4 linked regions of the Drosophila melanogaster genome follow. The protein of the gene in region 1 purifies or fractionates together with the protein of each later gene. This does not show direct contact. Each region holds a gene or a part of one and is shown in the gene's direction. Other genes may lie near its edges.

Region 1 (7,886 bases):
AGAGCATAAAGTTAATTAAATCTCATTAAGGTCTCCCGCCAATAGGCAACCACTGACCGATGAAGAAAACGTCATGAATGCAGCTGACCTTAAAATGAGTGCAGCTGCTATTTGACAGCGCCTGTGTGAGTGTGTCGGGGTGGACTGCACTATGGGAAACCTAACCACTTTTTCTGGCCAAAATTAATAACTTCAGAACGGAGAAATTTATTAGGAAAAAATTCGACAAAATTTAAAAATTGTTCAAAAGTGTGGACGTGGCCGGTTTCGCGGCTTTAAAAATGCTTATGTATGGCAATTTATATTTTTATCGAATTTTGGGTTGAACATTTTTTTTGCTTTTGCCACTCACTTACTCATAATGCAAGCCACACTGATTAAATGCCTTACAGAATGTAAATAACGCTTCAGAAAAAAATTGGTTAATTTTTCATAGTAGAGTTCTGTTGCATTTATTGATGTCCACTAAACATAGTATACAAACATGAGTAAGAGATATTTACGTTATACTTTTTATACATTAGTAAGTAATTTGGGGACCAAAGAATTTTATTCAGAATAAAAAAAAGGCATTTCCAAGTCTATTTTTCTAAATGTTATTTTTTAAATACCACAAATTATGAATTTAGTAAATAGATCCGTTGATTTTTTTCCTTAAAAAAATCTACTGATTTCAAATCAAAGCCCGCCTCAACGATGTAAAAAAACTAGTAACGATGACACCTTTACTGCTCTGAAATCATCTTTTGTGATGAAAATATAATTTTGTTCTGTTCAAGAATATAGGTATCTTCATTGATATGTACGTGCTTATCTACGTATATAATTCTTTGCTGCGAACTTAGACATTAGAGCATAACTGATTTGAATTCAATCTTTTTTGTGCGTTCAAGGGGATTTCAAAATGGTTGAGAATATTAACCTTAGACCAGTAGTGCCCAATTTCCTGCGTCGCGGAAAAATCTGTTTTCTTTAATTATTGGTCGATATATCGCCTTAGAATATCGTGTCGAAAGTTTCAAAAGCTAATTCTCGAAATTTTGGGAGATGCCCTTCGGATTTCGGAAGTCATACTTTCCTTGACGGCAATCTTTAAACCATGTTTGGTTCTATATGAAGTAAAGACTTTTCAATACAAACGAATGCCTCGTTCCTATAATTATATTTTAGAAACAAGAAACAACCCCAAAGCAAGGCTAAATGGAATAAACCCAAAATTTTACAGACGATGAAATCGAAAACCCGAAACAAATCACCCACCTGTAAAGCAAACATCCGTTGTCCAATTTTATTAAATCAGCATGTTTTCACGTTCCAAGCCGACACTCACAAGCTCGAAAGCAAAAGTTTGAATTTCAATAAATAAAATCTTAAAAATCTAATAGCGCTTGTATCCAAGAGCGAATGCACTTCACTCCAAAAGCCAAAGACACTAGATTATTCTAGTGTCTTTGCAAAAGCCCATTAAAATTTTACAGCCCAAAGTCCATATTAAAAAAGCTCGAGACCGAGGATTGATCGTCAATCAATATAGATCAATAAGTGGAGTTTAGCATGAGACCTAAAATTAAATGTTGACTTATGAAAATTGAAAACTTGTAATTATATGTATGTATAATAGCGTCTATGTTCTTCGGCAATGGAATCTCAGTCCTAGTGTATTGTTTTCCTTGCCAATAGCCTAAAATATTGTAAAATTTTAGTGAAGCAGAAAATTTACCAGCTGCCTGGTAGCGCACTCTAATTCTTTTTTCTATTATACCGATCAAGGGACGCAGACAAGGCCACTATACATATGTATGTATGTACGTACTTATGCGTGCATATCTGACTACCTGAAAATGTTTTCAGAGGGGTGAGGATTATTTCCGTCGGTTTTATGTGTTTGATTACATACATATGACATATCTTTAAGATATTATTTTTAAGATCTTGTAGACTGTGTAATTTACAAGGAAATTGATTGATGTAATTTAATAAAAAGCTTGAATTTTTTAAAAATGACGATATGTGTATATATATATATATGAACATACATGTTTGTGTGTTTGTTTATTTAATTTTTAGGAGTACCGGATCAAAAAAAAAACTTAGAATTGGGAAGGTGTATTACACGAAAAATCACTCAGGTCAATGAGAAAAACAAGGATAGGAATGCATTTGAATATTTTACCTGCTATATTTGTGTAGCCGCTAAATAATAGTTAAAAGGTGGCAGCCCTTTTTAGGGGACCGTTATTTTGAAATATTTGTCACTGCTATATTTCATCTCTTTAATATATTAAAATAAAATTGTAAAAATCTATCAGCATAAGCTAACTCCGAATTAAATAGAGAACGGGTGATAACGATAACAAACAAAGATATGTTTTCCGGAGGCGGAACTATCGCAAGCGGACTACCGACGTCTACCAACACTACAGGGCGGCGCTTTAAAAGCCGGTCCGACGCTCACCGCTCTCTCATTCGGCGTTTTTCTTTGTGACTGTGTGGACGTTCTTAATTGTACGGCAAAATCTCCAGCAACCAAGCTACTTTCTTAGCAAAGCTACTAAAGAGGAAACTATATTGATAAAATTTCGTTCTTTTAAAATCTTTGTGCTGATATTTAAGGCGTGCTTGGTGATCCAAAAACCCTCAGTTACAACGTGTTTTCTCGCTTCGCGTTTGAAAAGTAATATCTAACAGTAATTCAAAATGGCTGATGTGGCTGAGCAAAAGAAGTGAGTACTTTGCTTGCCTTGTTTTCGGACGTTTGTGGATTTTGTTTAAGCAATGGACTTGTAGCGAATTTTGCTAATGAAAATCTATGTTATTTGCCGAAAAGATTTGGAAATTTTCTTTTGAATTCTGTGTCTATATACGCAAACCGCTTGTTGGCACTAATGTAGTTGTCTCGTTCCCGCCAAAGGCAAAACGGTGTGCGCGCAAAAACCGACGCCGTTTAATTTGGCGCGGCGTCATGGTGCCTTCTCGCTCTTTCTCCGGCCGGCAAACAGCAACGATGAATTATTTGTGTGTGTGTGTGTAGCGGCGGAGTAATGCGTTGAGTGTATGCGGACGACAGGCCAAATGCGCAAAAGTCTATAGACATGTGTGTGTGTATGCGTGTGCAGCATTCAAGTTGCCGCTCTTTTCTTGTGCTGTTTCATTTCATCTGTCTGTGCTACCTCGTATGTTGCTTTGCTGCGTTTCTCACCAGACATCAAATTTCGAGGCTTGCCTTTTATACCCATTTGATAGCTTAAAGCTCGAAGCTTGAAATTAACAGTATAAATTTTCACGCATATCTATATTGGCATTACCAAAAATACTCCCTCTTTCCCTATCGATGAACACTTATGTATATATTTTTTTTAAGTAGTTATTATATGTTGCAGCTTATAATACATAACAAAACAAAACTCATGCCTAAGGCTGTTCCGGTTTTCTTTGAAAGACGCAGGTTGTATGACGTTATGCTACTGTTTGTATCGTTTGGACCGTTATTTTTGTCGTTTAGCGTTGCTACTTTGCAACTCTCTTTTTGTTCGCCCTATAGAATTCTATCTACCTCAGATGGCGAGTATCTGTTGGTAGATGAGTGCGAGAGAAACGACTATATTGTCATTAATCCCATTAAAACTGGTTTTTATTTCTATCTTTGTTCGTTTTAGTTTAAACGGGTCTCGCTTTTCATTTTGCACGTCTGCAAGCGTGTTTTTGGTTCTACCCTGTTCTCATCTGTTGGTAGAGAGCACTGAAATAACAAATGAATATATGCCATTTATATGAAAAAGAGCGTGCCGCCTAATCGCACTCACCTTTTCGCGCTTCCTTTTGCGTCGCAGCTTGCACGAGTTGTTGATCCCATTTTTGAAAAACGCCGGCAGATGTAACAATGCACTTTTTTTTTAGTTTTAATTCCGAACGTCCTGGGGCTCTTATGAATAGAAAGTGGAGGATGAAAACATAAACGTTACCTACCGGCGCTATATTGAAATTTTTCTTTTTTTTTTTTAAATTCAATTAATATTTAATTAATTAATAATTAATAGTTTTAGTTTTTGATAATTTTTAATTGATTTACTGTTTAGAGTTTTGTATGTAGTAGAATGCTATGCATACGAAGTTCAGTTCGGCCACCTTCGGAAAAAATTATAAGTGCATACTGACTTTCGTCTCTGATTATCACCCACAGTGAGACCCCTGTTGTCGAGAAGGTCGCAGCTGAGGAAGTTGATGCTGTGAAGAAAGATGCAGTTGCCGCCGAGGAGGTAGCAGCTGAGAAGGCGAGCATCACAGAAAACGGTGGCGCCGAAGAGGAGAGCGTAGCCAAGGAGAACGGAGCCGCCGACAGCAGCGCGACCGAGCCCACCGACGCAGTCGATGGTGAAAAGGCGTCTGAGCCCACTGTTTCTTTTGCCGCCGATAAGGATGAGAAGAAGGACGAGGATAAAAAAGAGGATTCCGCTGCCGATGGGGAGGACACCAAAAAAGAGAGCAGCGAAGCTGTTCTACCTGCTGTCGAGAATGGCTCCGAGGAGGTCACCAACGGTGACTCAACAGGTATGATGATATCAATGATATCAATGCCAAACAAATTTTCCACGTTCATGTTCTTATTGTTCAATTTTTATTATCGCCTTACAGATGCTCCCGCCATTGAGGCTGTAAAGCGGAAGGTGGATGAGGCTGCAGCCAAGGCAGATGAGGCCGTCGCCACGCCGGAGAAAAAGGCTAAGCTTGATGAGGCCAGCACAAAGGATGAGGTTCAGAATGGGGCCGAGGCTAGCGAAGTGGCCGCCTAAGGGAATCGCCCGCGGAGCAGCAAACTCAGTAATCTACTTATTAAATACTTACTAACACAAAAAAAGCAAATCACAGAAATTACGGTTCTACCGCCAGGAACCCGGACTGTATCCATTTTCCGCTCTTGTGAGCGGGTGATACGTGGGTGGCTGCTTGGGTGGCGGGCGCAATTCTCCAATAACAATCCGGCAATGGGAGCGTAGTTTTATAGCGTACCGGTTCTCTCTCTCTCTACTAACAAACAACCTACCAACCAACAATACCGGCAACAAACGAAAACAAAAAATCCATTATTATTTAAAAACTTACTTAAAATCTTAACTTTAAAGCAAAGTATATATATATATAAAGCGAAGGATTAAGAGAACAATATTAAGCGAAATTAAGATGCGAGACCCTCTATGTTTTAAGAATAAAAGTTGTAAACAAAAGCGTCAAATTTAATAATTGTAAAAAAAAATACGAAGCGAATGAAACAAATTGCAAACAAAATCTTTAAGTAAGAAAAACATCAAAACAATTACGGCAAAATAACATATGTAATCCTTTACAATTTTTAATTTTACAACCGTATCTTATTTTTGAGTATGAATATTTATATCGAACAAAGTAAAACTAAAAATTCAGTAAAATGTAACAAAAAGCTGCCAGCAACAACCCCAGAAAAATGTATGCCAACCGGCTAAAAAAATACTACCACATAGAAACAATAAAAAGTACGAAAAACAACTTTTACAGCAATACTCTGAAATGTTTATTTTTAAAATGCTTTCGAAATCGTACCTTTTTTATTTGTAATCAAGGTACCACCTATTTCACATTCCCAATTACATTTTATTTACTTGTCTAAGCCTACGAAATAGTCTGCGACGAAACTCTCATTAATGTTCAATGTTTAACAACGATTTAATGGGCAGGAAAGGTAATGGCCAGTAAATCCAGCATTCAGCAAAATCAAGATTCGAGATTATTAAAAAATAAAATGAAACGTAAAAATTAAAATCAAACTGTAAGCGTAACTTTTATTAATTTGAGCATGTTTGTATTCGCACAAATAACAGCTGTCGCCAATAGTAGAAATTATTATTTTCTTGGTAGGGTGCGGTCCAAGTACATATTAGTGGAAAGTAAACTATTTTAGGTAATATGATTTCGACACAGAACGTTACAAATAGTATTACTATTTTGCCTACGGTAAGTTGTTTTTTTTTTTGTATTTTTGGACTTTCGTTTAATTTTAATCAGAAAATTTAATATTTGATAATCTCTTGACTCATGACATTATATCCCATATATTTACGTCAATTAAGAAGCCTGTAAAACAAACACGGCAAATCTACAGTTCACACTTTAGCTAAAATTACATGAAGAATAAACTCCGCAAAATTTTATTTCATTTCATTTATTTCACGCTTAATGACATCCAATTTTTTTTTATTTTAACCTTAACAATAATAAGAGTACAGGCCAATAATTAAACCTTATCTACTTAGATATTAATATCAATATGAATAATATGATAATGAAAATATTATACCGATTGGGAAAAAAATTTTATGTAATTGAAAAAAAATCTAAGCACTTAAAAAAGGCTATTATCTAAAAATTACAATTAAGGTGGATAGGTCAAATCATTTATATGCTGGTGCACAGCCTCTTGACATTTAATAGAGAAATTTTGGGACAATCTTATTAATCTATTATAAACCACTTCAATATTGGCTCGGTTATGTAAATGAGCTGTTGAGTGATGCCAAGGGTGATTAAAGATTAGTTTTAATATTTTGTTTTGTCTGATTTGTAGCAGGTTAATGTGACATTTGGCCATTTCTGACCATACTGGAGCACCGTAAAAAGATAGTGCTTGGAAGATTGACCTGAACAGAACATTTTGTTTTCAATGTTTTATCTGGAATTTATGTTTATAAATGGATAAAGCGAGCAGATAATGGCTTTAAGTTGTTCGATTGTGTCACTTATGTGATCTTTGAATTTTAGCCTATTGTCTAACGTGATAGATACCCAAGTATTTGACAGTTGTTTCCCAGTTGTTTCTGCAAAATTAATTTCGATAAATCTCTGGGAAGTGTTCCATCTTCCAATCCTTCTGGATACCAATTTATACTAGTCTTTACCCTATTTTACCCTTTATCCGTAGACAAGATTATTTGAAAAGATTTTATCAGGTAACGTTTTTTTTTTTATTTTTTGTCAGAATCAATAGTCTAGCCAAAAAAAATAAATGCCAAAAATCTTTATCAAAGGTGTGGGCGCGCGATTTTTTGTCGGCTTGTAGGAGTGGAAATCTTTTTAAACATGATTGATTTTATTCATAAGTTTGCAACGCAGGTAAGAAAATATTTACGTACTCATATTATTAAGCATGTATTTTATAAGATATTTTGTCGGCCGTATGAACGTCGAGATTTCAGGAACTATAAAAGCTGCGTTGAGATTAAGCATACAGATTCTAGAGACACAGACGCAGCGCAAGTTTGGTTTGTCTTGCCAATTTCTAGACTATAGCATTCTCTGTTGTTTTTATGTTCAATTTATTTTCCTTCGCAGAGCATATTGTCATGCCCACAGTTTCGACATTTTTTTGGGGTCTTTTTATTTCACTGCTTGTTTTGTTAATTTCTATCAGTAATGCTGCGTTAATCGTAGCAAATCGTGGCCAAATCTTTTGATTTCGTTTTTAAGTCTGCTCTGGTTTTTGCAAAATGTTTGCTATTGGAATGTTTTGTAAACAGAAAACAGCTATTTAACTGTTTTCCAAACAATAGAGCAGCCACCTTCCTTACAGTTTTAATTCCGTTGTTCGCAATTACTTTTTTACTGGACATTGTCCATTTATGTAATTAAATTAAATAGCATTATTTACGATCAGCACGTTTGTCCCTCCTTTAAATTTATTAATGAATTCTTTTATATATTATACAAGTGTTTTACTTGCCTTATTCGTTTCACCAACAGTACGGCAACCTTCGCGATAACTTTTGGTGACGTCTTAATCGAAAATTGTTGCCGACGGCAAAATATCGTATGTCAAATCTGAGGTCAGAAAAAATTTTTCTAAAATAACTAAATGTCAG
Region 2 (9,939 bases), on another chromosome or scaffold:
AAGTGGGTGGAATGGGTTGGATTGTGAAGCGTGGGGAAGGTGATGAAGGGGTGGGGAATTAAAAAACCGTAGTTGCACTATCGCACGGCATTACTTGATATGCAAAAGCTAGGCTAATTCCAATTGTCGTGCCGGGCATACGAAATGACAGTTTTTGGACTCGAAAACCGGTTCAACGAAAGCGAAAAAAGTGGCACAAATACTTGATGTTTTCCGTTTTCTCGGCCAGGTGACATCTACAATTACGTCACTCAAACATTTTTCCCCCTAAAAGCCGCGGCAAACAAAACTTTAAAAACTATAAAGACCGCTTAGCATTTTGTTTTTGCTTCTTTCTCGAATTTTTCGCCGCTGCTAATGAACTTCATTTGCCGTAAATTGCCTTTAAATGACAGTGACTAAGCTCCGAATAGCGGCGCAAACATTGACGCTCGAAAAAAATAAAAACAACAAACTGAAAAAATAAACAACAAAATACAAGGAAAAACGTTCATTAACAAAAATTTCGCGCGTTGTTTGTCATAATTATGATTGCCGCCTAGGTTCTCTTCTGGGTAAAAAAAAAGAAATCTTACACTTGGACAAATAAAACTAGCTATTAGATAAAAAAGGTTTTTAATTTATGACTTTTTTCAGGATCTCAAACCATAACTAAAATAATATAATCTTTATAGGAAAACTACATATAAGTATATAAAATAAAAACAAATTGCTGTTTAATGCCCTTTTTTTCGAGTGTACATAGGTGAAGGGTTGGCAAACATCGGTGACACCAAAAGTGAACCCGTAGAAAGTTGCTTGGGGTCAGGCGTGTGCGGTTCTGGTGTTTGATTTCTTACTGCCAGTAAATAAGATACTTGAAAGTGGCTTTTAACAAATTTAAATGTGTAAATGAACGCGTTCCAATCAATGAAATGGTAGGCGTACTACAGGTGCTAATTAAGTGCAATATATTTTGTGAATTGAAGTACAATAAACTCATCTTATGAGGTAAATATTTGTTAAATTATTGCAATTTGGAGTAATTATCGAGGGGAAACAGTAAACTGTTTAGAAAGGTTAACGACCGATAGATTTACATACATATATCAGATATATTGTAATATAAATATGTATATATGTACTTAGCACAACATTTTCGATTGCAACCAATCTGATAGCATTACCTATAGGACTAAGCCCAGCTGCTCTTGCTCAAACTTGTGGATAGTATTATGTAACAACAACTGTTTTATAACAAAAGATGCGTTTGCTCAGCTGGGCTTATTCTCTTTAATTCGAAATATCGGTCGATCGAGGAGCGGCGACACTTACAAGCAAACAACAAAAGCCTTTGTATGTCCAGCGATTAGTCATCGCGAGTAACTGATCGATAACACTACTGGCCACTGTGCATAACTACACTGGGGAAAGTGTGCTCTTAAACTATTCGATTTTTATTATCTGCAAAGCTTATTTTTTTTAAGATATTTTGGCAGTCTTGAGGACTTTTTCTGAACACAAGATCCTTTAAAGTTTTACGTTAACCCCCTGGTTTTTATGTTCGAAGGAAGTTCTAAACGTTTATTGTCGCATTTCCTTGTCTTATCGCGCTTCGAACTTTTATTATCTTGGCTGGAATTAGATTTATGTTGTACAAGTTATAACCTAACCGAAATGACAATTGCCACATAATTCCCTCGCTGATATAATGGCTATTAAAAAACCAATTACGTTTAAATACCGTGTCCCTCTCTCAGGTACTTTTTACACTCATTTTCCCATTATCTCTCTATAAGTTCACCCGCCAAGTAGTATTGCATTTAAACGAAAACTTTTCGATGCGTAAGCAATTTGTTGAAAGCGATTTCGGACTTTTGAGAGTGTTGCGAATAGGGCTGCCACGTCACGCTAGAGACCGAAAATTGACAAGTGAATCAACTGAAATATGAACTAAAACTAAATTTAACTATCCAGGCAACGATTCATACAGCTTGCATAATTTCTTATAAGCTGAATCACTTGATCTACGTCACGTTTGTACATTCATGGTGTACAGTTTAACGATTTATTCACATGTAAAAAATGATAAACAAATAAGAGATTACGAAATAAATATTTTAAATTATGCTGCGATATGTTGCTGTTTGTATGTTATAATCACCCCGCATTTTATGGCGACTTGGCAACCCTGCTGTATTGTTGCACCTGGGAGAGAGCAAAAGAGAATGGCTAATATCATTGAAAGAAATAAAGTAAGGAGGGAACTGGATCTTGTCCCTTCCAGGAGAAAATTAAAATATATACCTAACAATGTTTCTTTATAGATGATTTCTGCACATTTACTGAACCTTTTACTTTGCCGTTTTTGAAACTAAGTAACTTTTTATCATAGTTTTTTTTTAGCGATACAGGATGACGCGTTTTCTAAAGGTGTTCGTCTGCCTCTCTTTGCACGGCTTCTCCCCTCTTTTACTCTCTCATTTACTGATAAGGCTCCGTTCGATTGGAGTGCTGTTTTTTGCCTCTGTTTTTTTGTGATAAAAGAAAAGGCATAAATAGTCCGTTCCACTGAACCACTCAATTAGTACTCAACAATAGCCCGTGGAAAGCGAATCAGCCAAAAAAGAAAGAAGAACGAAGAACGAGGAAGAAAGCAAGGAGTAGTTACAAGAAATATTTAATTAAAGCTCGCATCCTTGGCTCTCTCGCGCCGACTTTCTTTCGCTCTCTCCCGATCAATTGGAGATCTCTTCCGCTCGCGCACCACCCACTCTCTTTCTGACGCGTTTGTGCGTGTGTTGTGTACTTACTGTGTGCAAATCAATTAATTTTTTGTTGTTTGTTTGTTTTCGCAACGAAAACCAGAAGGAATATCGTAAATAATAAAATTAATTCCGCGTGCAAACATACATTGGAATAATGGCCGATATTCTCAACGTGGAGCAGCACCAAACGGTTCAGGAGTTCAAGCAGAATCTCGAGGAGCTCATTCCCAACGTAGGTGGCGCCACGGTCTCGACTACAGTGGATAACCGCTAAAGCAAACAACTATACCATACAAAAATATGCAATTAGGAACGCATATAAGGAAGATATCGCATTAAAGCATCTTTGAAAAATTGAATACGGATGTTAATTTTTAAATTCCTCACATACTTAAAAAAAACTTCGTTTTTAAATTGAGAGTCTTGAGTTGAACAGCCTTTAAAACGCTAATTTTGAATTTTTTATGACCCACAATTCACGTAATCACTCCCTCTCGATTTTGGTGTGTCTGTGTTTTTTTTTCGCCCTCTTTATTTTTCTGCCCTATCAACTTTTCTCGGAGCACTTTATAGCTTTTTAATCGATAACACCGACAGGTGCCACGCATACCAATACCCAATGCCAATAAGAGGGGCCTTTACAGTGAACACCTCCGATAAAGTGCACGCGCTTCAAACTGACCCACTACAGACCTCCCCCCGAAATTATGGCGAAAATCAGAATCACTTCCGTTCGATGTCAGTCAAATGTTGGCCAAAAGAATATCCCAGCTATCAGTCCGCTTGATAGTCTCTCTTTTGGCCAAGGACAACACCCTCGTTGGCTTAACGGTTTTCCCCCCGCGAAAACCCGTGAACCACCTATCATATCATTACCATACACGTAATCGTGTGCTGCTTTCGATTTTTTATGTTCATTTTTTGGCGCACAGAAATTTATCTTATCGACAAACAGCAAAAGCGGAGCAATCAACGCACCACTACTAAACCGAGTTACCAACCAGTGAGCCATAAATTCCACAGTCCAGTATATCAGCCGATCCAACTGCCCCTTTTCCCCTCAGATTTGTCCTATTTCGCACACCGAATATGGCGAAAATGTCGAACGTTTTATTATACCGTCCGGCTGAATACTTGGGTTTTCACCAATTTCGATATTTCGAATTGGGGGGTACCCATGGAAATCGCAACAATTTGGAGCAAAACTAACTAACTTCAAGCTTATTAAACTGTGGCATAGTTGAGGACTAAGCTACAATATGATTTTATGTGGAATATTAAACATATCAGCTGGGAATATTTTCAAAACATATTCCAAAATTATTATATTTTATTAAGAAAAAGTACTTATAATACATTATTACACGTTAAAATGTTATGTTTCCAAATAATTTAACCTTAATATTATTGAGTTAGGTTAGTTCTCAGTAAGTTTAAAAAGATAGTATACACTGCAACATAGATCAGCCACCGTTTTCAATGCTATTATAGTTTTAAACAAACGGGTTCGCATTTGTTAATTTAATTTTTCATTTTGTAACAACTTAAACCATAAACATAAATATTTCCCTTCGATGCCAACAATAAAAGCTTATCTAATCTAAATTATTTCAAGCATTTTGACCAAAAATCGCGTTTAAACCATTAAATATGACTAATAAATCTAAGTAAAGTGGTGAAACCCATATAATAATATATCGAATTGACTGGACTGTTTAATTATATAGCTCTTATATGTAAATCTGTTAAAGGAATCCCAGCTAGATTAAAATTAGTATTTAAAGTGGCCACCTCTTAGTCATTAAACTTTGCAAGAAATAATCAAGTCGGGTCCGAATCTCAAGTGTTTACAAACTGATTCATTCGTTCAGGCTTTCACTTCTTTAGTTCTTTTTTTTTTTTTTTTTTGTATATTTTCTCTTATTTTCTGTGGCGCCCACTCACGCTTTTGAACTGTATAAATTGAAGCGAACAATTTTCGATAATCAGCGATATGTCAGTCAGGTGGGAGATAAGACCCCTCGAACTGAAAACTGAAAAATGGAAATTAAATTCGATAAGGCTGGCACACAGACAATATAGCGATAAGGTTGCGGGAGATGGAATATAGCATTTTGCATTCCGAATTCCGCAGATAAAACAGGCACTGGAATGCGGCTGTGTGTTTGGCTTTCGGATTTGATTGATGACTCACAGATCGATCGTGGCAATAGGCGGCGGACAACTTACTCATGACCGGGGATTACTCATGGATCTTTCCTGTATTCAATTTGTATTGGTGTGCCCCTTAAGTCATTTTGAGTTCCGAGAAGGCCAGAAATTAAGTTTATGCCTCAGGAAAGGTCAATAATGTTTATGCCAATGTTAATGAAAACTGTCTAGATCTAATAGTTTTTGCAAATTGTTTTAAACCAATACTAATTAAAATCCCTCTCCTTCTTGTAGTTGGATGCCAACAAAGATGGCTTCATCGATCTGCACGAGCTAAAGGATGCCCTCAACCAGGTGGGCTTCAAGCTGGCCGGCTACCAGGTGCGCGAAATGATTGACGAGTACAAGGGCAAACAGCTGACTGCCTTCCAGGGCAAATTGAATCTGGAGGAGTTCGAGGCACTGTGCCTGGACCTGAAGAGCAAGGATGTGGCCAGCACATTCAAGACGGTCGTCTCCAAGAAGGAGAACTTGGAGACCCTGGGCGGCATGTCGAGCATTTCGTCGGAGGGCACCACCCATTCGGTGCGCCTCGAGGAGCAGCTGGCCTTCTCCGACTGGATTAACTCGAATCTGGGCCACGACAAGGATCTGCAACATCTGCTGCCCATCGATAGCGAGGGCAAGCGCTTGTATCTGAGCATCAAGGATGGTATTCTGCTGTGCAAAATTATCAACCACTCCTGCCCGGACACAATCGATGAGCGTGCGATCAACAAGAAGAACCTCACCGTCTACCGGGAGTTTGAGAACTTGACCCTGGCCTTGGTTTCCTCCCAGGCGATTGGATGCAACATCGTAAACATCGATGCCCACGATCTGGCCAAGGGCAAGCCACATCTGGTGCTGGGTCTTCTCTGGCAGATCATCCGCATCGGTCTGTTTAGCCACATCACCCTGGACAGCTGTCCGGGATTGGCTGGCCTACTCTTCGACAACGAACGTCTCGAGGATCTGATGAAGATGTCGCCGGAGGCCATCCTTTTGCGTTGGGTCAACCATCATTTGGAGCGAGCCGGCATCTCGAGGCGGTGCACCAACTTCCAGTCGGACATCGTCGATTCTGAGATCTATTCGCATTTGCTGAAGCAAATTGCCGGCAATGATGCTGATGTCAATCTGGATGCCCTGCGGGAATCCGATCTGCAGTCGCGCGCGGAGATCATGTTGCAGCAGGCCGCCAAGCTCAACTGCCGCAGCTTCCTCACGCCACAGGATGTCGTCAACGGAGTCTACAAACTCAATCTAGCCTTCGTGGCTAATCTGTTCAACAACCATCCAGGATTGGACAAGCCCGAGCAGATCGAGGGACTCGAGTCCATTGAGGAGACGCGCGAAGAGAAGAGTAAGTACTTAATATTTAGCCATACGTAAGATCGGTACAAAATACCGTTTTTATTTAATTGAAAATTAAACACAAGAAATCAAAGTTGATCAGGAAAAATCCAGGGTTTCTTATAAAAAAAATGTAGATATCAACTGCCACTTATATAGCATAATTAAAGCAATTATAAATATATATGTTTATCAATCGGCTTTGCACAAGAAGTGCAAGCCATAAAAACCGGGAATTTTTAGCTCGCAAGACCATTTATCACAAGAAGAATATAAGAATATAATACAATAATATATGTGTACTTATAAGAATACGATTACTTAGAATTATAATACTCAGGTGTTATATACATATTTGGAAAATATTTAACTTACACCAATCATTTCTATTTTTCTATCTAGCCTACCGCAATTGGATGAACTCAATGGGCGTGGCACCGCACGTGAACTGGCTTTACTCCGATTTGGCCGATGGTCTGGTCATTTTCCAGCTGTTCGACGTCATCAAGCCGGGTATTGTCAACTGGAGCCGTGTGCACAAGCGTTTCAGCCCGCTGCGCAAGTTCATGGAAAAGCTGGAGAACTGCAACTATGCGGTGGATCTGGGCAAGCAGCTCAAATTCTCGCTGGTCGGAATCGCAGGCCAGGATCTAAACGATGGCAATGCCACGCTGACGTTGGGTAAGCATTGCTATTCTAATTGTATTTTTGGATGTTACCAATTCTGAACTATCTTATGGTTACAGCTCTCATCTGGCAGCTTATGCGTGCCTACACCCTGTCCATTCTGTCCCGCTTGGCCAACACTGGCAACCCCATTATCGAGAAGGAGATCGTCCAGTGGGTGAATAACCGACTGTCGGAGGCAGGCAAACAGTCGCAGCTGCGTAACTTCAACGATCCGGCCATCGCCGATGGCAAGATCGTGATCGATCTGATCGATGCCATCAAGGAGGGCAGCATTAACTACGAGTTGGTGCGCACTAGCGGAACACAGGAGGTGAGTCCTGACTATGTCATGATATGTGGCAGACTAAACTAGCGCTTATTGATTCCGCAGGATAACCTGGCCAATGCCAAGTATGCCATCTCCATGGCCCGCAAGATCGGCGCCCGTGTCTACGCCCTGCCCGAGGACATCACCGAGGTGAAGCCGAAAATGGTGATGACCGTTTTCGCCTGCATGATGGCCCTCGACTACGTGCCCAACATGGACAGTGTGGACCAGAACAACCACAACAGCTCCGCCAACAACAGCAATTAGGCGCCATAGCCACAACTCATTTATACATAAACAAAAGGATGGGATTTTGAAAGGGAAGAACAGAGTGGGAACTACGTAAATTTGTCGTATTCGCTAATTACTAATAACTCTATTCGATTGCGTTCCTTCCTGCGCTACCAATACATTTTTGTGTTTTTTTTTTATTTCAATTACTTTTTGTAATTTTTTTATTATATATTTATATATTATATAATTGAGTATGAGTTTCCCCCTATTGTAATTAAGCAAACAGATTTTAGAGTGTCGCACATCTGTTTTCGAGCCCGGCGGGGTGTTTCTTAATTAGTTTTGTTTAACAATTGATTAATTATACAACTGTAACCTTATTTTATAAATAAAGGTTTAGCTTGTTCCGCTTAAAATCCTTAAAAGAAAAGAATGGTGAAACAAAAGAAAGAAAAAAAAAGCGACTTGTGCAGGATTAAGAAAGAATTATAATATTAACATTGCGACGAAAACAATTAACTCTGTAATATATATACATATATATTTATATACGATTACGATATGCGTCTATATACATAACATATAAATTTACATAAATCGATATATTTTTCCATAAACGCGTTGCCTAAAGAAAGATAACGAACGAAGATCAGGAATGGGGAATATTCAGAAACAAAAGAAGTCGAGAAAAACAGAGAAACTAATTTTATATTTACTATAAATTTTTTTGCGAGTAATTGTAAGACGCCTTTGTTTATGTGTTTTTTTTTCAACGTGCGTGTTTGTTCAATTTCTTTTTACATATTTGTATAATTTTGCGTTTAAGTGCGTTAGAGCGAGGTGGCAATAGGTATCGCCAACACGGCGTAGAAAGAGAGGGCAACAAACATTTTTAGTGCAATGAGGCGACATACAAATCCAAGAGAAAAAACGAATTAAGAAGAAGATGAAGTAATATTATATGCAGAATAAAAGTAAAACAATAAAGAAAATAAAAATACCAATATAAAAGCCGTTTCACTTAATAAGTCATAATTCTGTGAAGTTATCAACATAAAGTCTTGGGAGATATTTTCATGGCGCTGCACATTAATAGTTATATTGTTCTGTCAATTTATACACTTTGTGTCATAAACTTTTACCGAAACGTTGACAGGTCACAGGTTGTATCATCTGTGTGTTTTTTTTTTTAATATGTGATCAATGAGAACATTGATGACTAATGCTATACCGTGCACCTCTTATGTTCGCCAATGAAATTATCGTTTCCTGGAAACAATCAGACGTATTGTAGATATGAAAGGCGAATAAGTTAATGCTAAGCGTGTATAAATCCTTATCGATACGGTCCCCTCTATGAGACGATTTTCGTATTTCGAACCTTCCATCTAATCGGCCAGCTTATCAGATATGGCGCTTCTCACGTGGCTAGCAAATCAAATCGTAGGGCACTTCAATGAAGTCAACTGACTTTTGTCCAGCGATGATGACGACGTAAGACTTGCGGTGAAGCAAACTATGTCATTCATGGGAATCCGTATGTGAAATACGAATCGAATGACCGGCGATTGTAATTGAAACTTGTGAAAATGGTGTGATTAAAGGCCACCGTGCATTTAATCTGCAAATCGCCCTGAGGCAGAAGAGTATAAACAATTTGGCTTGAGTTGGTAGACTTGTCAAAACAGATTTAAATTTAAATATTTTCAATTATTTTATCTTTACCATAATTTTGATAAGTTATAAACTTAAGCCCAAAAGTAGGCAAATACATTTTAATATGTGAAAGTAAAGCTTTGTATGCAGGTAAGTCAGCCCATAAGTATGATTTAAAATCGAACTGTAATTCGATTTGTTGTTATAGCGTTATCAATTGGGTTTTTTGTATTTTATAGATAAATTCGGTGTCCAAATGATCAATTGGCTTAATGCGTTATCAGAGCACCAATGTGACTGGCTCAAGTTCAATATAGTCTTAACCGCTTTTCTTAACACAAAAAAGGTATGCAAAAAACTAGGATATATAAATATCATCAGTACGTATACTACCAATATAATATAATATCCGTGCAATCCTAACATTTAGCTCTAATAATAGAGTTATGAACCTAGATATCTATTATATTTCTGTTTGTACAAGACCTACCTGACCACTAAAGGGTTAAAAAACCAAGCGATATAAAAGGGCCGAATCGGAAACGGTTTTCATAGTTGCTTATAAACAACGACAGCATGAAGTATACCATTCTTATTTTGGCTTTGGGCCTGTTTTGCGTAAGTTTTGCAATGAAAAATACAAATTATTTGCGCAATGGTAGCAAATATTTAAATTCCAGGTAAATGCATTGGTGGCTCCTGTTCCCAGCGCCCTGGACTCTTCGTCAGAACTGGACGATGTGACCGATGGTAGCTTGG
Region 3 (6,446 bases), on another chromosome or scaffold:
AGCAACAGCTTAGCCAAGGCACTGGTAGTAAACGACGCGCTGGCTTGGCCTGCGATCAGTGCGGCAAGCAGGTGTACAAGCTACCGTACTTGGAGGCCCACATCCGCAGCGTCCATCAGGGCTACTCGAAACCCTTCTTGTGCCGCAGCTGCGACAAGTCCTTCACTCGATATGAGCAGCTGCGCTCCCACATGCGCAACGCCCATCCACAGCTGGAGCAACTGCAGCAGGAGCTGCGCGACCTAATCTGCGAGCTGTGCAACCGGCAGTACAGCACAAAGAATGCCTTGGGCGAGCATTTAAAGCGTCATGCCCAGCGCAAGGAGCACGTGTGCGAGCACTGTGGAGTGGCCAAGGTGACCCGAACGGAGCTACTGACCCACCTGCGCACCCACAATCCCACCTGGGAGCGCTTCAAGTGCGAGCAGTGTCCGCAGCTCTTTCGCCACAAGAGCGCCATTAGCCGGCATGTTCGGGTGGTCCACGAGGGTCAGCGGCGGTTCCAGTGCGGTCATTGCGAGAAAAAGTTTGGCACGCATGCCTCGCAGGTGCGGCACGAGCGGCTGCACACGGAATCCACGGGCTCGGGAGAGGCAGCCGAGGAATGGCCCTTTGCCTGTATTCACTGCCAGAAGCCTTGCGTTTCGCGACAAACCCTTGAGTTGCACCTACGAAGGCACCGCGCGAGAAAGACGCACAGAAAACGAAGGGAGCACAGTCGGGAGAGTCAGGAGCAGGAGCAGGAGCACGACCGCGATCAGGAGCAGGGCGCTCGGGAAGCTCAACAGGATCAGCTCCGCAAGGGGGAAAAGCTACGGCAGAGAGATCTCTCCAGGGAAAGCCACCGAAATGAGGTGACCATGCAGACAAGCCAGCGGCCAAATGAGTGTCAACAAGGTCAAGAGTCCTACGATCCGGAACCGGATCCGCTGGAGGCAAGTCAGTGCAAGCTAGAGCAGGAAGATGCACTCGATCCGGAATGGCAGCACAAAATAGAGCAGGACGCAGAATCGCAAGACTCGGCGCGACTGGAAGGGCATTTCCATGACTACAAACCTATCCCTTCGAAAGCCTTATGATCAACTATAACCTATCCATATACGTCCGGTTACATACATCAGGTTAGCGCCCCTTGAGCAAAAATCTTTGATTTGAGATATTTAGAAAACTGTTAAAGCTAGAGTTTTGAAAATTGCTTTTCATTCAAACGTTGAACAATTCTATAAATGTAAAATTTATATAGGATGCAGTTTCTTGTTTATAGATTTTTATTTAAGTAAAAAAAAAATCCATAAATGGGTTAATTAAAATTGGGTTATCAGGATAACGCCCCCTAAGATAATTTAAGTTGGTTCGATTCATTTCGAAAGAAATTGGGATGATTAACACTTAAATATTTAAATTAGAATATTTTTAAAGGAAATTATGGACTTCACACATTCGTCTGGAAAGGGAATCATATATTTTTTTTGTAGGTAATCCAAAGTAATCGCAGACCAATCGAGTTTTATTCCGGTGAACGATTCGTTTTGAGTGGCATATTGTTTACCACCCTCGTATACCTTCCTAGCCAACCATACCCACACGTTATCTATTATATAGTAGTAGTATGGTGGTAGTAGTATGGAATCCATGTTTTTGCCAAACGTGCAGTGTGGATTGAGACACTGTCAATTTGAAAATGTCATTCTAAATTTCCAAAAACGTTTCTAAAGTAGGGAAATGCAGTTTTGAATTATAATCTTTTGCGTTCATTTTTGGTGTTTAAAACTGCAATTTACCTATAACCCGACTGTGACAGCGATCCAAAATGTACGCAAATCATAATAGTAATGAAAAAAGCCGTCTGGTTTCTCCAGATTAAATTTCTTCTTGTCCGAAAATACGACGCCACTCCTTAGACCAAGTCAAATGAGCTCGAGCAAAACTCAGACCCGCTTTTTTTCGCAACTTATTGAGAGGTGGTTTTATTTTCAGTTTTTCGTGTTTTATGTTTAGCTGTCTTAATCACCATTTGAATCAAAGATTTGATCTGGTTTTCAACACTTTTTCTCGAATTTTGGCGGAGAAGTCGTGGGAATTGGGAGGTATTCGAAGTATGGACCTGCGATCTGCCGCGGTAAAGACAAGGTTATTGCCACCATTATTTTTTTTTTCCATAAGTTTCGTTCTTTTGAATAAAGTTTATTATAGGGTTGCGACATCTGGCGGGTTTTCTGAAATTTTATGATTATGAGCATTAATAGAATGCTATGATATTGTATATTTCCTGCAGGGATAACAGGGTTCCTCTTAAAGCAAACTTTTCAATTCAACAGCATAACAAATTTTGTTGTCCTTACCTTAGGACCTTTTTTTTATCCTCAAGGAGAGAGGGAATGTCAGTGAACAAAAAACAACAACATTGATGAATTTTCGTGCAATGGCAAAACCAGAAAATAAAAATGAACGGAGCCATGCAGGGGGCGCTAATCTGATGACGCGTAGTGTATATCCAATGAACTATCATGCAAATGTGGCTAGGACGCATTAGCGAAAATTTTTAAATATCTTACTTTCACGACATTTTATCCTTGCTACTACAATGTATTAAATAGTTTTATATGTTCGCTTACTTCGTATTTTATACGTTTTATATGCTCGCTTACTCCATATTTTAAGTGCCTAATAAAACTGTTGACGATAATTGCTTTTCATGGAAGGACTTTTGTGACAACATTTTGGATATACTCTTTTTTTAAAGTGTATTTGTCAAGTGTAAAATTTTGTGTCACAAAAGGTAAATTCCGATATTCGTTTTTTGAAGGTGCGATAGTCATTAGTTTTTTCCTCGTAGATGTCAATCAGCAAAAAGCGCACTTTATAATTTAAAACTTACAGTGTATTTAAATTTATTATTATTTAGTCTAAACTAAAAAATATCGATACTTCCAAAAGCTCCCGTCGCTGGGAATATTTGCTGTTCTGCGCACGGCCACACTGAAACGGAATGTACATAAACAAGGCCGAAATTCGATCGGAAAGCACTTGCTGAATAAACGCCAGCTGATAAACACAAAGATGTCGGCCATATCGGGACGCGCCCTGCACTATGTGTTCAAAATCGGAGATCGGGCGAAAAACGCCTTCTTCTTTCGGCAAATCTTGGGAATGACGGTAAGCTGGGTGTGGCGGGCGTATCGCCAGAAATCGGCAGACTTCCTTATCGCAGGCTGTTGTGTCTGGCTGTAGTTTTATCTGGACAACGTGTCAACGACGCGCGGCTGCTAATTAAAAAGCCCAGATGCCCGATAATGTCATATAATGACTGTGTTAAAATTTCATTTTTCTCTCATCGTTTTTGCTCCCTTCTATCGCCATCCCGCTCGTTCGCACGGCAACAGGTGCTGCGGCATGAGGAGTTCAAGGAGGGATGCGACGCAGCTTGCAACGGGTGAGTGCTATTTCGGAGTGTTGCGACAGGACTAACTGGTAGTGTTAATCCTTCACAGGCCCTATGACAATCGGTGGAGCAAAACAATGGTGGGTTATGGACCCGAAAGTTCGCATTTCGTCATCGAACTCACGTATAACTATGGAGTGAGCAGCTACGAAATGGGTAAGACACATACCGGATAAAAATGTTAGGCTCACATGAGGATTAAAAGTCCTGAGTGCAAGCTAACAAGCGGGAACGTTTTAACCCTTACAGCGGCTAAGTAATATCATCCTAAAATACCTATTTATTTTATCAGGCATTAAAGCGTTTTTAATAAGAATTGAGAGTTGAAAAAGTTTGAAACTTCAGTGATGGTAGGCTAAATCGCATATTTAAGCTTTGAGCAGTCATATGTACACATTTCTGGAAATTTGAAAAAATGTACAACCCTATAAATGATTACCGAGTTATAATCCAAAATATTTAATCTAACACTAGTAAAATTGGGATGGCTTATCTTAAAGTACAAATGAGTTATTCTATCTTCGACAACTTCATAATTAAGTGTTTCACTAATAATAGCTATTCGATAAGTGACTTGTCTTAAGTACGTAAAGATAGTAGGTTATTAATCTTTTTCTTTATGAATACGGAAATAGTTATCTATAAGTAGGTCGAAATCTATCAGTCATTCTAGTTAAAACCGCGATGAAGATTTCTGTCTATCACAAAATGAACTAAAAACGAAAGTATGTGAGTTGAATGTTTGAAGATGTTTGAAAAAGTACAGTACAGTAATTGAAATATACTACTTAATGATTCCCTTTGTATTAATTCCCAAGTTAATTTTAACACTTATAAATCCTGTTAATCGATACTTATTCTTTTCGATTCAGGCAATGATTTTGGGGGCGTGACCATACACTCCAAGGATATCCTTTCCCGCGCCGCCGAGCACTCGTATCCTGTGACACAGGTGTCTGGAAAAGCCGGTAGTCTGCTGACCTCGCCCGATGGCTACAAGTTCTATGTGATCGATCAGGCCTCTGCCAGCTCTGATCCTGTCCAATCGGTGGAGCTTAATGTGAGCAATCTTCAAAACTCGCGCAAATACTGGCACGATTTGCTGCAACTGAAAGTTCTCGAGGAGAACGAAGCAAGCGTGCGTTTGAGTTACGGTGAACAGCAGGCTTCACTGGAGATCACCCAGATCTCAGAGCCAATTAATAGAGCTAAGGCCTATGGACGAATCGCCTTTGCCATTCCGGCGGCCCAGCAGCCACCTCTCCAAGAAGCGGTTAAAGCAGCTGGCGGGGCCATTCTAACACCTCTGATTACCCTGGATACGCCAGGAAAGGCCACCGTTACGGTGGTAATTCTCGGTGACCCCGATGGTCATGAGATCTGCTTTGTCGACGAGGAGGGCTTCGGCCAGCTATCTCAGGTGGAGTCCGATGGCGATAAGCGACTGGATCGAAACATCGAAAAGGATCCCTTCCAACCGAAATGACTTTCCCAGCAATCCTTGAGCACTGTTATTTGTACACAGCACCTTTTGTATTTGGATTTTGTATTGTCTAATGGTTAATGGCTGTTTTCAACGGAGATATTATACTTTTTAAAACATTGTAAAACATCACCTACGCTCGTTCTTGTTTTACAACATACATATATTTTATTACATAAACTGTCGATAAAATTAAGCGTGCGTATGGGACTTATTTTTCTTTGTTATAAGAAGTATTTTAGCTTTTCTAGTATTGAATCAATCAAAAACACCTTTAAACGAGGTGAAAAGACATCCTGATATCAGCTATTGTGGTTTTTAATTCGACTAAACAAACAGATGGTCATAAATCCGCTTAATTGGTCCTTACTAGCGAAAAGGATTTCAAGTATATGTATTCTTGATTTGGAACACATATATTTTATTAAGTATTGCGTACTTAAGTATTATTTTTATGATCCTAACAACGTGCTCGGGATTTTCCTTTCATTTTCATTTCAGTTTTAGAAGAGACAAATTGGTTTCGATTTCGTTTTTTGTAGCATTTATTTTTTTAGGGTGTTTCCTGAATTTATTTTTATTTTTTTTTTACTTGAGCGACAAGGAGACGTTGGTGCAGAATGAAGGACTCGAGTCAATCGGCGCCGGCAGGCCTTTTGGTGGCAAATCTGAAGTCTTGGGAAACGTTCGACTGGCCGACGGAGCAGCAGCGTTGGATCTACCGCAGTTGGGGCCAGTACTTTGCGCGGATGCGGAAGAACACCTTTGCCCAGAAGTACTTCGACAAATGCATCACAGAGAATGAGAGCACGGATCACAAGGCTCTTTATCTGCGCAGCAAATTCAAGAGATCGGTGGCCCTGACGCAGGACGCATTGGAGGATAGCTTGAGGGCCATGGAGGTAAGGCAGGCGTGGGACGCAAATGTGTCCATGGAGCTCGGAGATGCGCTCTACGATTTGAATCGGTTTGAGGAGAACAAGAGCCTGCTGCACGACAATGTCCGTCGGCATGCGGGCACCGCTCTAAAGAGCTTCGAGAATCGCCTCGTGGTAGTCGATGAGAATCTCAAGGATTGCACGGGCTTCAGCCTGGCCAACTTCTTCATGGAGCATTCCGCGCAGCTGCCCGGCTTCTATGCCCATCAGCAGGAGGAGCTTCGAAGGGCCGACAGGCGGCCGCTGTGGAAAATCCTCAAGGAGCGAAAGGAGTGTGATGTCCAGAGCAGGATCGATCGCAAGGAGGTGATGCTCTCCCCACTGGAAAGAGAGCGCAGGCGTCGCAAGACCAAAATATTTTATCAGAACTATTTGGGTCGCAGCTGGACCGATTTTTTCTTTCTGAAAACACTTCGCCGGCATCCCAACTGTCTTCTAGACAATCATTTCGGCTCCTCGGCGGACCGCACCAAGTATCTTGAGTATGCGTTCCAGCGCCTTAAGACCTTCACACGGATGCTCCAGGCAAGGAGACCCATGTACAAGGAGTACTTCCATCGGAATCCCCAGATAGAGGCTCGCA
Region 4 (6,080 bases), on another chromosome or scaffold:
TAAATATAGAGATGCATGTATATGTATGTGTAAACTAGTATCAAAAATTAGTAAAAACGACACTTAACCAACTGAAAAATTATCCAAAATATATATGTATGCTCATGTACCGTATTTATAAAAGTATGCGATAAAATCAAAGCCAACAACAACTTAGCACGCAAGTAGAAGACGTTGAAGATTTCATCATGAAAATGCATTATGGGATCATGGTAGAATGAATCGTTCGACCGGACGTTAGAATGTGTATAAGTATGTGCGTGGATAAGGACAGCAATAAATTAAAATCGACAAACTTGTGAGGTTTTTGTGCCATTTGATGGCGATCCATTTGCTTCTTATTTCGTTTTAGTGTGCACTTGTCGTCTATAATATTGTTCAATTTGCTTTTAGTTTCGATGTTCCTCCCTTATGGTTTCATTTATAAAATATCAGGTTCTGCTATGACCAAAGATCGCTTTAGCGCTGTAGTGTCTATACATTCCAGTGTGTATATATCGGGCTGTGTGTTAAATGGGTGTTCTATAGGATGTGCATCAGAATATACAACTAACTGCCCGATCATTGACTCAATCGAAGTTAATCATTCGGAAGGTTCCGTCGTTCGGAACGTCGGTTACTAACGGAGCACCCCTTTCCTGATCCTTCTCACTGGCTTCCCGCAATTTCTCATCCACGCCATATCGCTCGTCTTCCGTGAAGTACGGGGAAAAGCTTAGCAGCTGGGTCTCGTAGCGCGTCATTGCATCAGACAAAGATCCATTATCGCCGCCCATTTCCACGGGTAAATACTCCAATCCAATTGCCTTTCGCAGAGACGCGACGGTGGAGTGAATGTGCAACTGTAGGAAGGGTAGCAAAGAGTTAGTGGTTCTGCATCGATTTTCCCTTTGAACTCACCAGCTCCTTTTGCTTCATGACATTCCGAACCAGTCCAAGGACAAACTGCGTCTCCCTGGATGCATTGACAATGTGCGTGGCCACTAAATTCGCTGGAATTCCATGCTCTAGGAATGCATTCATCCGCTTGAACATGCCAGGATCGAACTGCAGTAGCAGAGAGTAGGGTATCTTGGTGAAGTCGATGATCTCCACCACGCCGGCTATGTTCCAGTTGTCGTCCGTGTTGATCTCGATCTCAGCGCGAAAAGCGTGGAAGCGGAAAATGTCGCTGACACTGTGCTTGGAAGGTTCAATGTGACCCATTCGTGTGTAGTGGATGCGGGGGCCACCAGGGCCAATAGGTTTGGGCAATGTGGCGAATATTCTGCAAAAGAACAAGTTTTTCTATAACACCCACCTCCAGAAAATGAGGGGGGTCCCCGCCTTACCCTGAACGAGCCAGTTCTATCAGCTTATCGTCCACCTGGCGACCCTTGAGCAGTTCTCTTTCCTTTGATTTGTAGGTGTAGTAGAAGAGTACCCTCTTCTTGGCCTCCTCTACGTCCCAGCGGCAGAAGCGCAGAAAGGCCACCAAGAACTGATCGTCGGTCCGCGCCTCCAGGTAGATCTGTTTGTCGATCCAGGTCCTTAGCGCCTCGATCTTCGCAACCGTCGAGGACGGATCCTCGCAGAGCTGCGTTCGAGCCACCTCTGCCAGCTCCGGCTCCAGCGATCGTATCTTGGCCATGGTCACAGGGAATCTGCAAATCGATCGATACTTGTCTTAATTTTGAGATACGATACCGAAGGCTTGGAGTGTGCTAAGGTGTGTGTGTTCTCTCGCCAGGTGCGAACACGACTAACAGAAAAGTTTGCGCCCGCCTGCTTGGACTGGGTTACCGATTCTGATCGGTTCGGGAACCCTCCCGGATTCGATAGCGGGCACACTGGTGCAGAAGAACGCGAAAAACACTACGGCACGGAGCAAACTCACAATGACAAACCATTTGAGCACCAGATTATGTGATATCAGTGGCCGATAGAGCAAACACAAATAGCAATGTTATGTGAATATGATAAGTGCACTGGAAAATACATTTGCACCTTACTGGTTTCGTATTGGTAATCTCAATTTTGTAATGCTAGTATAAAGTTTAAAAAATTTTATTTATATAGGATGATATATATTTGGATATTTTTAGTATACTTCTTAAGCAATCCAGCCTTAAAATTGCGATTTCATTGCGATTTAAAGATGATAATCGATTTTTTACACCCCCGATAAATAATAAATTGTTCAATCAACTTATATCTTTAAAAAAAAATACACCCACTTGATATGTCATTAACTTTTAAACCCCATAATTGGGTAATTCCTGCCAACTGTGCTTTTCCGATCCGGTGATAAGATACGATCTGCATACTCACAACCGTTTGAATTGTGGCGTATTTCTATCCACAGAGTCAACTGCTTCTTCGCCAGCTGCACGCTTACACGCCATAGATGCAGTGGAGCCGTAATCTTATCTCCTCCGAGGAGAGACTTCGACCGCCTACACCCAAAAGATCGGGTTGGATTTGATGGGCCGTCGGAGCAAAAGAGAGTGGTGGAAATGGTCGTGTCCGCTATCAACTGAATGAGTGGCCATAAAGGCAGCTCAGATTAGCTTTTAACGGTTCCGTTTCGGCCCGGGGATTTTGGCCGCCGTGCGATTAGGAAGAGCGTTTAGTAGCCGTCCAGCCGCCACGAAGCAAGCGACTTCCCAAAAATGGCCAATCTGCGTCCCCTGAGCGCCGAACTTCGTCGCATTGCTGAAACGGAGCTAAACGAAGTGGAGGAGCGAGTGCCCGCGGATCTGAAAGCTCTTCGGGATTGGTTGGCCAAGCAACCTCATCTGAGGGCCCGCCAGGATGACCAGTTCCTAGTTGGCTTCTTGCGAGGCTGCAAGTTTAGCCTGGAGAAGACCAAGTCCAAGCTGGATCACTTTTATACTATTAAGACGCTTATGCCTGAGCTCTTCGGCAAAAGATTGGTGGACGAAAGGAACCTAATCTTGTGCAGATCTGGGTGAGTTAAAAGGCGCTCATCAAGGATATTTAAAAACTTAAGAAACTTAAATTTCTATTTAGAACCTATGTTCGATTGCCCAAACCTTGGGGAACCGATGGCCCCCGCCTGCAGCTTACGAACTATGAGAAATTCGACCCTAAGGAATTCAAGTTATTGGATCTCTTCCGCTACCAAACCATGATAACGGAACAGTCAATCCGTGAGGATGACCACAGCAACATTAGCGGCTACGTCGAGATCGTTGACATGGCCAAAATGAGCCTCAGTTTTCTGGCCCAACTGGATTTCACGCTCATCAAAAGGATGGGAATATTCGCTGAGAAGGCACAGCCCACTCGCTTGAAAGGAGTCCATCTGATCAATTGCCCCAAGGAGGGAGTGGCGTTACTGAATTTGGCCAAGAGCCTAATGCCCAGCAAGCTCCAGCAGCGGGTGAGTAGGCAAGAATAATTGAATAGTCGTAGCCACTCTAGCTAATTTATTTTCGTTCCCTTATCGGACACTTCAACGAGATTATCAGCTGGTCTAGCAGGCAGCTGATAGGCGTTGAAGAGCTGTGGCACTCTCTCACCCCTGAACTATTAATTAATATTTCACAAATCAGAGCCACTAACTTTCGAGCTGGGTCCGCATACTGTGAAATACTGTGTGTGGAGCAGCATTGCCTAAGGTCAGTTGACCACGCACATGGGCTCTTATCATTGAAACACTGGGCCGAGTTTTAAGATACGGGGGGAAGGTGCAAGTAGATATATCAGCGAATAGGAGAATAATCTATTTCCCTGACTCATCACACACATGGCTCTCTACTTTTTCAGTTTCACGTGTATAAAAATCTCGAGCAATTAAACGAGGTGATACCACGCGAATACCTGCCGGAAGAATATGGTGGCAACAATGGACGTATAGCCGACATTCAGGCGGAAGCGGAGAAGAAATTGCTGTCCTATGAGAGCTATTTTGCTGAGGATTCCCAGTACGGAGTGGATGAGCAGCTGCGGCCTGGAAAGCGTGTTAATGCGGATTCAATTTTTGGCGCTGAGGGATCCTTCCGAAAACTCGACATCGATTAAAGTCGGAACGTGTTTTAATTAGTATTCAATAAAAGGCAAAAACAATCCTCAAAACAACTAACTAGACTTCTCATGAGAATCGCCGAGAGCGACGCGACAGATGGCCAAATCGCAGAGCCATTAGCTTTTAGCGAGCACTATCTGTGACACTTGTTAATAGCATTGTCAATCACCTAACTAACTAAATGAAGTGGGATCAAGTGTTGGTCATGTTAATTTGACGAACGCTTAGGCAGTTCCTCTGCAAAAGGCGTCGAAGCAGGAATCCAACGGAATGGCTTCGGTTTCCAGCAGCGACGATGTTAGTAATGAGTAAGATTTTCATTTCACCGTAGTTATACCTTTTTCATTTAGTTTGACTTCGGCAAATGGGACTTCCCAGCCGAGCGCATCTGGCTGCACAAGCCCAATGGGGAGATCACCTGGAAGATCTGCACTTTTCTACCACTGATTGCTTTTGGTCTGTATGGAAACTTCAGCATGGTTTATGTGATAGCCACCAACCGTTCTTTGCGCTCGCCCACCAACTTGATTATTGCAAATATGGCCGTTGCGGATCTACTGACCCTGGCCATTTGTCCTGCCATGTTCATGGTGAACGACTTCTATCAGAACTACCAGTTGGGATGCGTGGGCTGCAAGCTGGAGGGCTTTTTGGTGGTGGTCTTCCTCATCACAGCCGTGCTCAATCTCTCGGTAGTCAGCTACGATCGTCTCACGGCCATCGTGCTGCCAATGGAGACGCGCCTCACCATAAGGGGCGTCCAGATAGTGGTGGTCTGCACCTGGGTCTCGGGTATCCTATTGGCATCACCATTGGCTTTCTATCGCTCTTACAGGGTGCGAGTGTGGAAGAACTTTACGGAGCGATATTGCAAGGAGAACACCTCTGTGCTGCCCAAGTACTGGTATGTTCTGATCACCATTCTGGTGTGGCTGCCATTAGGCATCATGCTTATCTGCTACATAGCCATATTTTATAAGGTAAGCAAAGAAAGTGTGCTCATCCTGGATTTTTAACTAATAAGCCAACTCAAAAACAGCTTGATCGGTATGAAAAGCGGGTCCTAAGTCGCGAGAACCCGCTGACAGTGAGCTATAAACGCAGCGTGGCCAAGACACTGTTCATTGTGGTCGTTGTCTTTGCAGCTCTACGACTGCCCTTTACAATCCTGGTTGTACTACGGGAAAAATACTTCGGTGAAGATGTCTCTGTCAGCAGTGGAATGCAGCTATTCTGGTACATATCACAGTATTTGATGTTTCTGAACGCCGCCGTCAATCCGCTGATCTATGGCTTCAACAATGAGAACTTTAGAAGGGCCTACTACCAAATTTCTTGGGTTCGCCGATGGCGAGACGCCACCCAAATGAAGAAGTTTTCTCGATCACCAGACCACTGCTGCTACTGTGCCTTTATGAAGAATGGAAAACGAACCTCAGAGGCAGCACAAAAGGCAGGAAATTTAGAAAAAGACATAAGCAAGGATATGTCGTCGGCACAACAATCGGCCAAGTCAACGAAGATAGTTGAAAATGAATTTGTATCAGAAATCGAGGCAGACGGATTTATATAAAAGAAATTTAAGAGAAACAAATAATACATTTAAAAGCCAATGTACCAAAATACGAACTTCTCTCTGCTCTAATACACCCACTATGATATAGGGTACCAAACATATGACAATCATACTAAATAAAGCTTTAAGAACCGTAAAATATCATGGCCGGTAGTAAAAGTTATTTTGCAACCAGTGCACGTGTTACAGTTTGAATGTTTCGTTTTGTATAGTTTACACAAAATAAATATATGTATCAAATCTGTTGCAATTTGTTGATCTTTGCGGCTGTGATCGCCCGCGTGATCAGTTTTGAAGTAAACTTCCGGGAATCCTATCCCACACACTTCCTGAACTCAGATCAGGAATCGATGCTCCACAAACGGGCGACTGCTGTGCCTCAGTTTTTCGACCAAGGTTTGAAATGATATAACAAACTTTATTAACATGTTAAATTTTGATGGGAAATCCAGTGCTCAGGCTAAACCAAACAAT

The links.
Region 2: the proteins of Df31 (region 1) and Fim purify together in Drosophila melanogaster (affinity purification with mass spectrometry, with the first as the bait; one large-scale study listed by BioGRID). This does not show direct contact.
Region 3: the proteins of Df31 (region 1) and CG1532 purify together in Drosophila melanogaster (affinity purification with mass spectrometry, with the first as the bait; one large-scale study listed by BioGRID). This does not show direct contact.
Region 4: the proteins of Df31 (region 1) and CG30339 purify together in Drosophila melanogaster (affinity purification with mass spectrometry, with the first as the bait; one large-scale study listed by BioGRID). This does not show direct contact.

Annotation. Positions count from the first base shown.
Region 1 is NT_033779.5:21,624,504-21,632,389, reverse strand, and holds Df31 (decondensation factor 31), read left to right. Parts: upstream 1-2,457; 5' UTR 2,458-2,697; coding exon 2,698-2,723; intron 2,724-3,413; exon of another isoform or gene 3,414-3,739; intron 3,740-3,803; exon of another isoform or gene 3,804-3,928; intron 3,929-4,180; coding exon 4,181-4,548; intron 4,549-4,632; coding exon 4,633-4,790; 3' UTR 4,791-6,081; downstream 6,082-7,886.
Region 2 is NC_004354.4:17,284,291-17,294,229, reverse strand, and holds Fim (fimbrin), read left to right. Parts: upstream 1-2,560; 5' UTR 2,561-2,901; coding exon 2,902-2,979; intron 2,980-5,192; coding exon 5,193-6,303; intron 6,304-6,695; coding exon 6,696-6,974; intron 6,975-7,039; coding exon 7,040-7,293; intron 7,294-7,353; coding exon 7,354-7,557; 3' UTR 7,558-8,526; downstream 8,527-9,939. Other genes in the region: CG8661 (uncharacterized protein), read left to right, coding at 9,757-9,798, 9,861-9,939.
Region 3 is NC_004354.4:21,024,890-21,031,335, reverse strand, and holds CG1532 (uncharacterized protein), read left to right. Parts: upstream 1-2,974; 5' UTR 2,975-3,060; coding exon 3,061-3,156; intron 3,157-3,383; coding exon 3,384-3,433; intron 3,434-3,491; coding exon 3,492-3,598; intron 3,599-4,314; coding exon 4,315-4,928; 3' UTR 4,929-5,211; downstream 5,212-6,446. Other genes in the region: CG1529 (uncharacterized protein), read left to right, coding at 1-1,079; r-cup (ryder cup), read left to right, coding at 5,546-6,446.
Region 4 is NT_033778.4:9,599,432-9,605,511, reverse strand, and holds CG30339 (uncharacterized protein), read left to right. Parts: upstream 1-2,610; 5' UTR 2,611-2,651; coding exon 2,652-2,950; intron 2,951-3,012; coding exon 3,013-3,385; intron 3,386-3,771; coding exon 3,772-4,026; 3' UTR 4,027-4,081; downstream 4,082-6,080. Other genes in the region: CG1902 (uncharacterized protein), read right to left, coding at 570-842, 901-1,267, 1,332-1,630; CG30340 (uncharacterized protein), read left to right, coding at 4,301-4,327, 4,381-5,010, 5,070-5,603; CG30338 (uncharacterized protein), read right to left, coding at 6,062-6,080; clos (closca), read left to right, coding at 5,837-6,002.